Linked DNA regions of Macaca fascicularis. The protein of the gene in region 1 binds, or shares a complex with, the protein of each later gene. Links are inferred from orthologs where the notes say so. Each region holds a gene or a part of one and is shown on either strand. Other genes may lie near its edges.

Region 1 (4,578 bases):
AGGCCCTGTGTGTTTCCCAATGTCATCAAGTCCTCCTGGAATGTATTTCTCACCACACAGGATTCTGTACTTTTCTTCTGTGGCACTTATCACCATTGCAATTAATTAGTTATGTCCCTTTTTGCTTGATATCTGCAAGGAAATGACCCTTGTGTCTGGTTATTACTGTGTTCCCACACTAGCAGCATCTGGCATGTCTGGGGCTTCATGCGTGCTTGTCAAGATGATGTAAGAATATAAACACCCCTAAGAGCCAGATCATTGGGTAGCTTTTTGGAATTTTGAGCCACTACCCTTTTTGTGGCAAAGAAGCTAACAGTCTAGGTGCCCCCACCCTCAGTCCTGGGCAGGTGGTCCCCACCTCCGGGAGAATCTACCTCGGGCATGCAGAGCAGAAAATGGGAGTCAAGCCACCAGCAGCCCTGGCAAGGGCCTCAGATAGCCCCAGGTGTCCTTCTTTGTAGGCTCACGCCAGTGGCCTCCCCTAGGGCACTCACTATTCCTTGGCGATCTCCAGGTCCTTTCTGTGGCTCTGCAGGGCTGCCGCCATCTGCCCCAGCTCAATCTGGGCATTCCCTATGCAGCTATACAAGTTTCCAACCAGTTCATCCTTGTTGGGTACCTCTTCCTTATTCCATTCCAGTACCTTCTTCAGCACTTTCTCGGCTTTCTGAAGACTCCCTTCAGCACTGCCGCTTGTGAGCACTGGGAAAGGAAAGGGGTGCTGTGGAGGCCAGGGCAGCCTCCTCTTGGCTGATGGGGAAACTCCTCTTCCTGCAGACACCATCTGCAGGTCAGAGAGACCAGGGGCTCAGACACCTGGTTGCTCCTTCCCCACCTGACAAGGCACTGGAGGCACCTGCCCCACCCTCTGAGAACAACACCCACACATGTCAATGTCCTCCAGGCTCTTGAGGATGTAATGGGCTGTCTGTGAGGGATGGCGTTTGTGGTCCCGCAGCCATTTCTCTTGCATCAGCTTCCGGTCCCGCTCCCTAGCATAGATCGGCTTTTGCTGCCTCCAGAAGTTGCTGTGAGTATCCAGGTAGTTGATGCCCGTCATGATGAGGTCCTCCACAGTCAGGCCGCCCTTCATGGTGCCTTTGATCAGGTCTGTGGGGAAGGGGTGTGAGGAGGCGCCAAGGAGAACAGGCCTCTAAGGGGGTTGCCTCCTGTTGCCTCCCGGTAGCTGCTGCAGGGCCCTCTGTGAAGAGCTCTGCCTGGAGTTGTTGAAACAGAGAGGAATTTGAGTGCGCATGGTGGCAGAGTGGGTTTATCCAGGCCAGGATGCAGCCAGAGCCCCACTTTCAGGGAGTTCCATGGTATGGGCACCTTATGGCAAGATATGAGGAGCTAACCAGAAGGGGCAGCTGGTGGATGGCTCGCTGAGAAGCCTTGGGGCTTCCCCAGTTCAAACTGTGTCCTCAGAGAACACTGGGTCTAAATGCACAATCTGGCCCAGGCTGCCAGTGCTCAGTGATTTCCCAGGTGCCCAGTGGGCCTGTGCATGCTGGGAGCTGGAAGGGGAGTGCCCAACTCCTGCTCACTGCCTGGCCAGAGGTTACAGCCAGTAGCAAAGCTACAAGGCCACTTGAGGTAATATTCAAGCCACCCCTTCCCTCTGCAGCAGGTCCTCTGGAGAACAGGAGGCATTCAGCCTGTTGCCAAGGAGATGTGCCAGCAGTGAAGCTGTTCCTGTGTCACGGAACAGGGAACCCTACATATGACCTTGGGAAGCCAATTCTGGAGAAGAGGCATTTGGTTCACAGGTGACCCTGCTCAGGCTTATCAGCTAATGGCAATACTCCCATCCCCATGTTAATGCGAGACGTTCATCTCAGGCCTCTGTCCTTCATCCCGTCACTGGCAGCAGTGTGGTGGGAAGAGCGCTAGACTGGCCAGGTGTGGTGGCTCACACCTATAATCCCAGCACTTTGGGAGGCTGAGGCGGGCAAATCACTTGAGGTCCGGAGTTCGAAACCAGCCTGGCCAACATGGTGACACCCCATCTCTACTAAAAATACAAAAAATTAGCTGGGCGTGGTGGTGGGTGCCTGTAATCCTAGCTACTAGGGAGGCTGAGGCAGGAGAATCGCTTTAACCCAGGAGATGGAGGTGGCAGTGAGCCAAGTTTGCTCCACTGCACTCCAGCCTGGGCGACAGAGCAAGACTCTGTCTTTAAAAGAAAGAGCACTGGACTGGAGGTCAGAGGCCTGGGTTCTGCTGGTGACTCCACCACGAACTTGTTTGTCAACTTGTAAAAGTTCCTCCCCAATCAGGGTCTCTATTTCCTTATCTATGAAAGGAGTACTTGGACCAGATGATGTTTCAGAACATCCTAGAACTAATATCCTCGGATTCAAGCATCTGTGTGCTGGATTCGTTTGCCCATTGTAAAGATTGAAGGCAAAGGGGATGTCCCTTCAGGGACTATGGTGGTAAAGGAGACCAAATCTCTGTTGTTCCCTCCCAGGGTACCATAGCACTTAGGAGCATTGCTCTAAAATTGGACTTCCTGGATTCGAATGTAAGCCATGTCATTGCCTACCTATATGTGACCTTAGTTTCCGTTGGTCTGCGCCTCAGTTTCCTCATCTGTAAAATGAGAATGCTAATAAAACCCGTCCATAGGTACATGTCAGCTAATATTATATGACAGGTTCTGCCTTCGGCTCATGCATGAAGCATCCACCCAAATTTCCTTTCCCCCAAGGCCCTGTGCCAACAAACTGTCCGAAACCTTCATCCAATAGGAGCTTCTCCAGATACTCTTTGTCCACGTAGAGCTCCCCCAGAAGCTGGCGAACAGTCTTCTCACTCTTGAGTGAGCCCTTCCGCTTGGGCTCTCCCTTGGTGGGGTGTAAGAGGTGTCTCATGGGCTGAGGCTTCTGCTGGGCTTTTATAGTCTAAGAAAATGGAGGAACACCCAGCAGAGCTTCAGCAAGGAGCAGAATATACCCAGCCATGGCCCTATGGTCTGTGATCCCAGATTCCTCCAACTCCAGGACCTTTCTGTGGGCCAAGAGCCATGGAGTATGCCTGGTCGGGTTGCAGCTAGACTCCCAAGACCCCTTCTCAGGCACACACAACCTCTTCCCTTGGAGGGATACAACCGCAGAACCAGGGCCCTTACCTCAGCCTGCTTGCTTAAGAAGGAGAGGTCCCCTTTGTTCTCCAGCTTAATGGAAGAAGGACCTGCAAGGAAAGAAGCTGGAGCTCAGGTCGGCCAGGCCCCCACGGCCAGAACCCCCACGCATGATCTATAACATATTTTTAGGTGGAAATGGCTGCCTTTGGCAGGGGGATGGTGGAGGCTGTGGCAAAGCTGGCCTTAAGCCAGCCTAGTAAGCAAATGGTGCAGGCTGTTTGGTATAACTCCTAGGAGCTAACAGCCCCCACTAGCCCAAGGCTATGGCAGCCAGATTTCCAGACAAAGGGAGGCCAAGGGTACAGGGGAAACTGTCCATTTCCAGGCCCTGCCACCCACAGAGCAAGCTCTCACTTGTTCTCACTTGCTTCCCTTCTACCCCTGCCTTAATGCTGATGGCTAAGGCCAGCCCTTGGTATACGTGTGGTGAGGGAGGAAGCCAGGGACTACAGAAGGCTGGGCTCAGGACCGCGTTCTAGCTTTTGACACCAGGCTAAAGACAGGCCTACTTCGAAACAGCCCTTCTAAGCTGACCTTTAGGAAAACCCAAGGCTGCAGCGCTCAGAGATCAGTGTGTTCGTCAGGGAATGGTCCTCCCGGCGGACAGGTGGCGCCGGCCACCACGCCCAACTAATCCTCAACAACACTGCAGCAGCCAAATCCAAGTGTGGGACTCCCTGCAGGCCTGGTGGTGGCTGCTCACCTGCTGTACCTCAGCCTTCCTCTAAACCTAAGGATTCCAAGGACCTTCCTGGATAAGTGCATAGGCCCTGTGGCCACTCACTTCCCACTGAGTTGTTGATGGCTTCCTGGGCTTTCTGAATGCCAACTTTGAATTCCCGATCAGGCCTCAGCTTGTAGCCTCGATGATAGAATACCAAGGCAAACTCAAAGTCTCCCATGGTGTACAGTGTCTCAGCCTTTTGTAAAATCCCCTGGAATGGGAGGAAATCAAATCAATGTGAACAGATAAGGCCTTATAGGACTCACATGTGGTGGAACAGAAGGGTCCTGGGTTGAGGGTCAAGGTTGGAATACAGGGGGCAGGGACTTAGGCAATGACCTACGAAGAGAAAACGGCATCAAACACTAGGCAGTCTGGCTGCTTCTACTTGTAACAACTACTTGTTACAACTACTTGTAACCCGCAGCTGCTGCAGGCAATAGCAGGATCGAGTCCTCCCGCCCATGCAGTCACCTTACAGAAAGTTGGGTCACTCTGGAGCGAAGCCTCAGCATCCTCCAGGGATCTCTCCAAGTCTCCCATCTTCAGGAAGCACTTTGAGCGAGCAACCAGGCAGTTCTTGTCTCCATCCTGAAGGTAAAGAGCCTGACAAAGAAACCAGTCAGGTTGACAGCCAGCATGAAGAGCAAGGTAGAAGCTGCAGTGGGAAGGGCAGCCCAAACCCTCCTGCAGAGGTTCAAGGGGA
Region 2 (5,183 bases), on another chromosome or scaffold:
GCGATCTCCCCAGGCCCCCAGAAATAACCACCAATGTGCTCACCAGCAGCGCAGGCCTGCTCCCCAACACAGGCCTAGTACATCAGACAGGGAGCCCACAGTGCCTCTTAGTAATTACTGACAACCACTCTTTCAGTACCTTGTCTCTTGAAGTGAGCAGTGCAGCAATCTCTAGGAATTAAGTATTTGCTACAGCTCTGTGATCTAACAGAAATCAATAAGGTGTCACAGGTAAGTATAATTCAAATATGTCCAGTCTTTCCCTTTTGTTCTCTATGGTTTCAGGAATTTCACTCTTCTAGACAAGGGGATATGTAGAAACACTATTTAAAAAGGCTACTGTTACAAATTCATAATCACCATCAATTCATATCAGGTAGCTGTTGTTAGGTCATTTGCTTTAGGATAAAATACAGTCCATGCCTTTACCAAGCACCCTTTGCTCTAGTTTCAGACAGCATCCCAATCCTTCATTCCAAAAACAAATGAAACAGTAAAGAGAAACCAGAGGCCCTGACATTGGAATTATTTCATTTGGGATTATTATTCATGGTTAGTAGAATTTTTCTGCTTCAGTCTAAAAATGCCAGTATGTGTACAATAACATAGTTTGTCATTTTCCCCTCTGAAGTTAAACAAGCAGGCACTCTGGAGAATACTGTAGATTTGGTGCTCCTGGCTGAGCCACCCCTTTTTGTTGCTGCCTTAGCTGAAAGGGAGGTATCCCCTCTGTGGTCAGGAAAAGCAGAAAGTCCTCCCACACTGAAGATGTAAGGACTATCCTTTGTCTGCAGACACAGAACCTGTCTTTCAAATAAGTCAAGGACCAAGGTTACTGAGATATTTTCCAGAAAAGCAAGATTGGGCTGTATCCCACACCCAAGTGGTAGTTGTCAGCCCCTGTTTTCATTGGGGGGAATGCCTATTTAAGCAGTATAAAAATTCCTAGTGACTTTATTCAGATTCCACAGACAACTTCCACCTTTTGAGAGTGAGATGAGGGCAGTGGGAAAAGAAAAAAAAACTACAGTCACAAGCCACATAGCGCCATTTAAGTCAATGTCAGACAACATTAGGACAGTGGTCCCATAAGATATAACACTGTACTGGAACACTGCTCCTTCCCCAGAGTGCTTAGCACTCTGTCCTAGCTGCCTGCAGCATTCCGCGCAGTGACCTGCTGTGCAGGTGTGCAGCCCAGAAGCAATGGGCTGTACCATACAGCCCGGCGTGCAGTAGGCGAGGCCATCTAGGTTTGTGTCGGTGCACCGTGATGTGCACACACTGATGAAATCTCCTCGTGACCTCAGAACGCATCTCCATCCTTAGACAACCCGTGGCTGTATTCCAATTTCCCCTTGCTCTCAGAAACACAACTAAAAGCTTGAAGACCTCAGGTGACAAACTGCCTCCTGTTACCGCACCAAGACTGACAGCCTAAGCGTGGCTCCGCCCAAAGAGCAAGCTCCTCGCCCTACGACAGGAGGCCCGGCGAGACAGTCCTCTGGACAGCACCCTTGCTGTTTTGTGACGCTGCTCCAGCCCCCAGGATGTCCAAGATCTTAGGCTTCCCTTTGACGCGTGACGCTCACCACCCGAAACACCTCTCATACAGCGTACACACCACATTTCAGATTTTAATCATTTACACTGCAATCAAGCAAAAAGGTTGCGAACTCAAAAGCCAGCAACAACTGAACATTTAAACTCCAACGTCCACAATCAGAATACAGCCCTCAAGGCGGCCAGCTGGGACCCTGCAGGCAGCACCGCGCACGCAGGACCTAGCGCACGCCGCCGTTGAGCCGATGGGCGGAGCTCAGTTGTTGCCATGGCCACGTCGCGGGCAGCCTGGGAGCCAATCCGCGGCGGATCGAGCCGTTGCCTTGGCTACACCGTCTGTTAGGGCAGCGCACGCTATCAGTGACTGAGACCTCACCGCGTTGCCCCAGCACCAGGGCTCGCGGGGGTCCCGGGAGAGTCTCGGCAGCCGTGCGCCCCGAGACCCCCGCCGCGGCCCCATTCTCTGAGGGCCAGGCATGAACCGCAAGAAGCTGCAGAAGCTGACAGACACCTTAGCTAAAAATTGCAAGCATTGTAAGTAAGAATCTAGTGCTGGACAAGTCGAGGCTCCTGGACCGAACCTGGGTCCCACCCGGTGCCAGGGTCCGCTGTTCTGCCTGCTTCCGGCCTCCTGGGCTTGTGTGGGCTACCTACCGCCCCTCCACTCCGGCCCCTTAGGCGTAAGTCAGTGGGTGAATCCCCGGGGTGCTAGCTCCTTGGGTTTGATCTTAGGAACCCAGGCCTCCACCTCTAGTGCTACCTACACTCCCACACATGCATTTACTTGCTTCTCCAAGCCTCTTATTTTACCTGATAGAAACGTGATGTTAGCCTCAGTGAGGTGTAAAATAAATGCTAAAACCCACTGGTCTCAAGAAAAGTACCACCACCAACGTGCACTCACCCTGCTTTCTAGCTCGCATATACACTCGCAGGTACAAGTTCTGGAAGCTTACCAAGAGACCCATAGGAGAAAACGGTGCTCAACTTCTCAACATCTTTAGGAGATGTTAGTTGTGTCATCTCATCTGTGCCTCAGAACAAGATTTGTTTGGAAAACAGAGTTCAGCACAACTAAACACGCGGAAAAGAATGGATTCCCAACTTTAGACTCCCACTTTCCTGTGGCCCCTAGTGTTGAAAGATAAAGGAGACTTTGCAGGTGACAAGATGAGCCCTATTTGAAGGCACCTGCTCTAATCTCGCATTTGAAAGGGTGGTACTGGAATTTCATAGGAAACTTTGAGTTTATATTCAGACTGAAAAACATAATTGCACTTGAGCAAGGAAACCGTGGGTATGGTTTAGATGAGGAAGATATTGCCTGTCGAGCAAACTTAGAAGTTGTGTGTTCATTGCAAATCTACTGGTCACTTGAAGAAACAGAAGCAACAATTCCCCAAATATCTGCATTGCTCAAAGAAGAAGGAATAAACGTGTTGATGTAGTTTTAGAGATCATAAGATCTAGTGCATTCTAATTATCATTAGTGTCTGATTTAATACCTGGTAAGAAATGCTCTCTTAGTGGGATGGTGACGTAAATGAATGTTATGGTATGTGTAAGCATCTTAAAATGTCTAGGAAAAAAAATCCTGTAATTTAAGGTATTATTATGACTACTATACTCTGATGAGAGTTTTGTTCTGTTATTGTTTTTCTTAAAACACTTTCATTTCTGGGAGAAGAATAGGTATTCTTCTAGTAAACATCTAGTAAACATTTTTGATAAATATTCAAAAACAATGCAATAGCTGCTATACACAATACTGATTTTGTCCCTTTCCATAAGTTTGAATTTGAGTTAGTCTCTGTTCAGTAAGTTTGAATGCATTGCAAACAATCATTCTGTAAACAATCAAAAGGTGAGTGTATATTTTTAAAGATAATTAAAAATATGGCAGGAAAAAGTCTACTCTTGATTTTTTTATTTACTAAAAAAATTTTAATGAGTCTTACAAACTTAGATGATTATTACAGTCTATAGAAATAGTTATAAGTCATGGGTATTATAATAATTTTAAATTTTCTTTAACAGAAGGAACTTTCCCCTAAAGTTAAATTTTGTTTTAGTTGCAAGACAATAAAACTATCAAGAGTCAATGGATAAATTTTGTAGAATCAAAGAAGAGTGAAAGATCTTAAGAGAGCATCTAGTTCATGCACCATTCTACAGATATGTTCTGCAGGACACATTTAGAGCATTCCAAGAAGATGAAAATCTGTTCTTGAATTTTCTTCAGTTTCATTTAATATTGTATTCTAGAATTTAAGAAATGTTTAGCAATAAAAGTTTTCTTATGGCTAACCTTTGATCCTTTGGGTAATAAATTAAACTAACTTTTTAAAATTTTTATTTCAGCTGAGATGGAAAAATGGCTAACCAACATCCCCTCTACTACCATTTTATATACATGAACAGAGTACATCATTCTTCATGCAGGTTTTTCTTCCCCAACCACTAATAGCTCTTGCTTTTTAAGAGGTTTGTGTGTGTGTATATGCGGTTACATGTAACATGAAATTTACTATTTTAACCATTTTAAGTGCTTACATCCTCCTCCAGAACTTTTTCATCGTCCCCAGTGGAAACTCTACCCATTAAATATTAACTCACCATTCCCTCCTCATCCTAGCCCCTGGCAACTACCATTTTACTTTGTCTCTATAAATCTGACTAAGTACCTCATATATGAGGAATCATACAATATGTGTCCTTTCGTGCCTGGCTTATTTGACTTAGTGCAATGTCCATAAATGTTCATCTATGTGTCAGAATTTTCTTCCTTTTTAAGACTGAATAATACTTCGTTGTATGAATACGCCACATTTTGTCTATCCATTCCTCCATTGATGGACTCTTGCATCTGTCTTTTGACTGTTGTGAATAATGACACTATGAACATTGTTGTGCAGGTTCCTGCTTTCAGTTCTTCTGAGTATGTATTTAGAAGTAGAGTTCCTGGATCATACGATAATTGTGTTTAATTTTTATGAAGCGCCATCATACTGCTTTCCAGTGACTAACAGCTGTTTTTAAAATCATAACCATTATATTGTTTCCTACTGTTTATTTGCTGAATCTTTTTTCCCAAAGTTTTTAGTGTTTCTCTTTAAATGTGGTTCTCCAAACCAGATATCTCACAAAAGCCTGTACTGACCTCTAGGATGAGGTGTGATTTTTCCATTCCTAGATGCTGTCTTCTGTTATACACATGCAGGTTTTGTCCTTGTTTGTTAAAATGCTCAATCATAGTTTTGTCTGGTTTCTAAATAAATTTTCCCCAACTTCCTCCCATACTTGGTATTTGGGCTTTTATATTATCAAGACCAGGCAATAACCCTTCCACCTACATTCTCAAATGGGGATTGGAACACAAATAATTAACTCGGTATTTATAACCATGGTCCTTTATACAATAATGTGTATGAGCAAGTATCTGTGTGTGTATATATCCTTTAAATAAAAATGTCCTTCCTCCAAACTATTACTGAATACTTGCATGTCAATTTTTACATAATCCTCAAGAAGAGCCATATTGGGTGCTAAAATATGCTTTAAAGCTTTTTATTGGAAAACTGGTGACTCTAGTTTCCAAAATCTGGCTTATGAATTCATGA

Evidence for each region.
Region 2: ODAD4 (region 1) and CLXN share a complex: the UniProt entries of both Homo sapiens proteins name them as parts of the outer dynein arm-docking complex. The link is inferred for Macaca fascicularis from reciprocal best matches to the Homo sapiens genes ODAD4 and CLXN.

What each region holds. Positions count from the first base shown.
Region 1 is NC_088390.1:62,977,005-62,981,582, reverse strand, and holds part of ODAD4 (outer dynein arm-docking complex subunit 4), read right to left. Parts: intron 4,479-4,578; coding exon 4,347-4,478; intron 4,212-4,346; exon of another isoform or gene 4,139-4,211; intron 4,084-4,138; coding exon 3,933-4,083; intron 3,196-3,932; coding exon 3,134-3,195; intron 2,907-3,133; coding exon 2,741-2,906; intron 2,652-2,740; exon of another isoform or gene 2,549-2,651; intron 1,114-2,548; coding exon 889-1,113; intron 788-888; coding exon of another isoform or gene 706-787; coding exon 498-705; intron 1-497. UniProt on the Homo sapiens protein: Component of the outer dynein arm-docking complex (ODA-DC) that mediates outer dynein arms (ODA) binding onto the doublet microtubule. Plays an essential role for the assembly of ODA-DC and for the docking of ODA in ciliary axoneme.
Region 2 is NC_088382.1:58,624,682-58,629,864, reverse strand, and holds the start of CLXN (calaxin), read left to right. Parts: upstream 1-1,929; 5' UTR 1,930-2,039; coding exon 2,040-2,097; exon of another isoform or gene 2,098-2,243; intron 2,244-5,183. UniProt on the Homo sapiens protein: Component of the outer dynein arm-docking complex (ODA-DC) that mediates outer dynein arms (ODA) binding onto the doublet microtubule. Seems to regulate the assembly of both ODAs and their axonemal docking complex onto ciliary microtubules.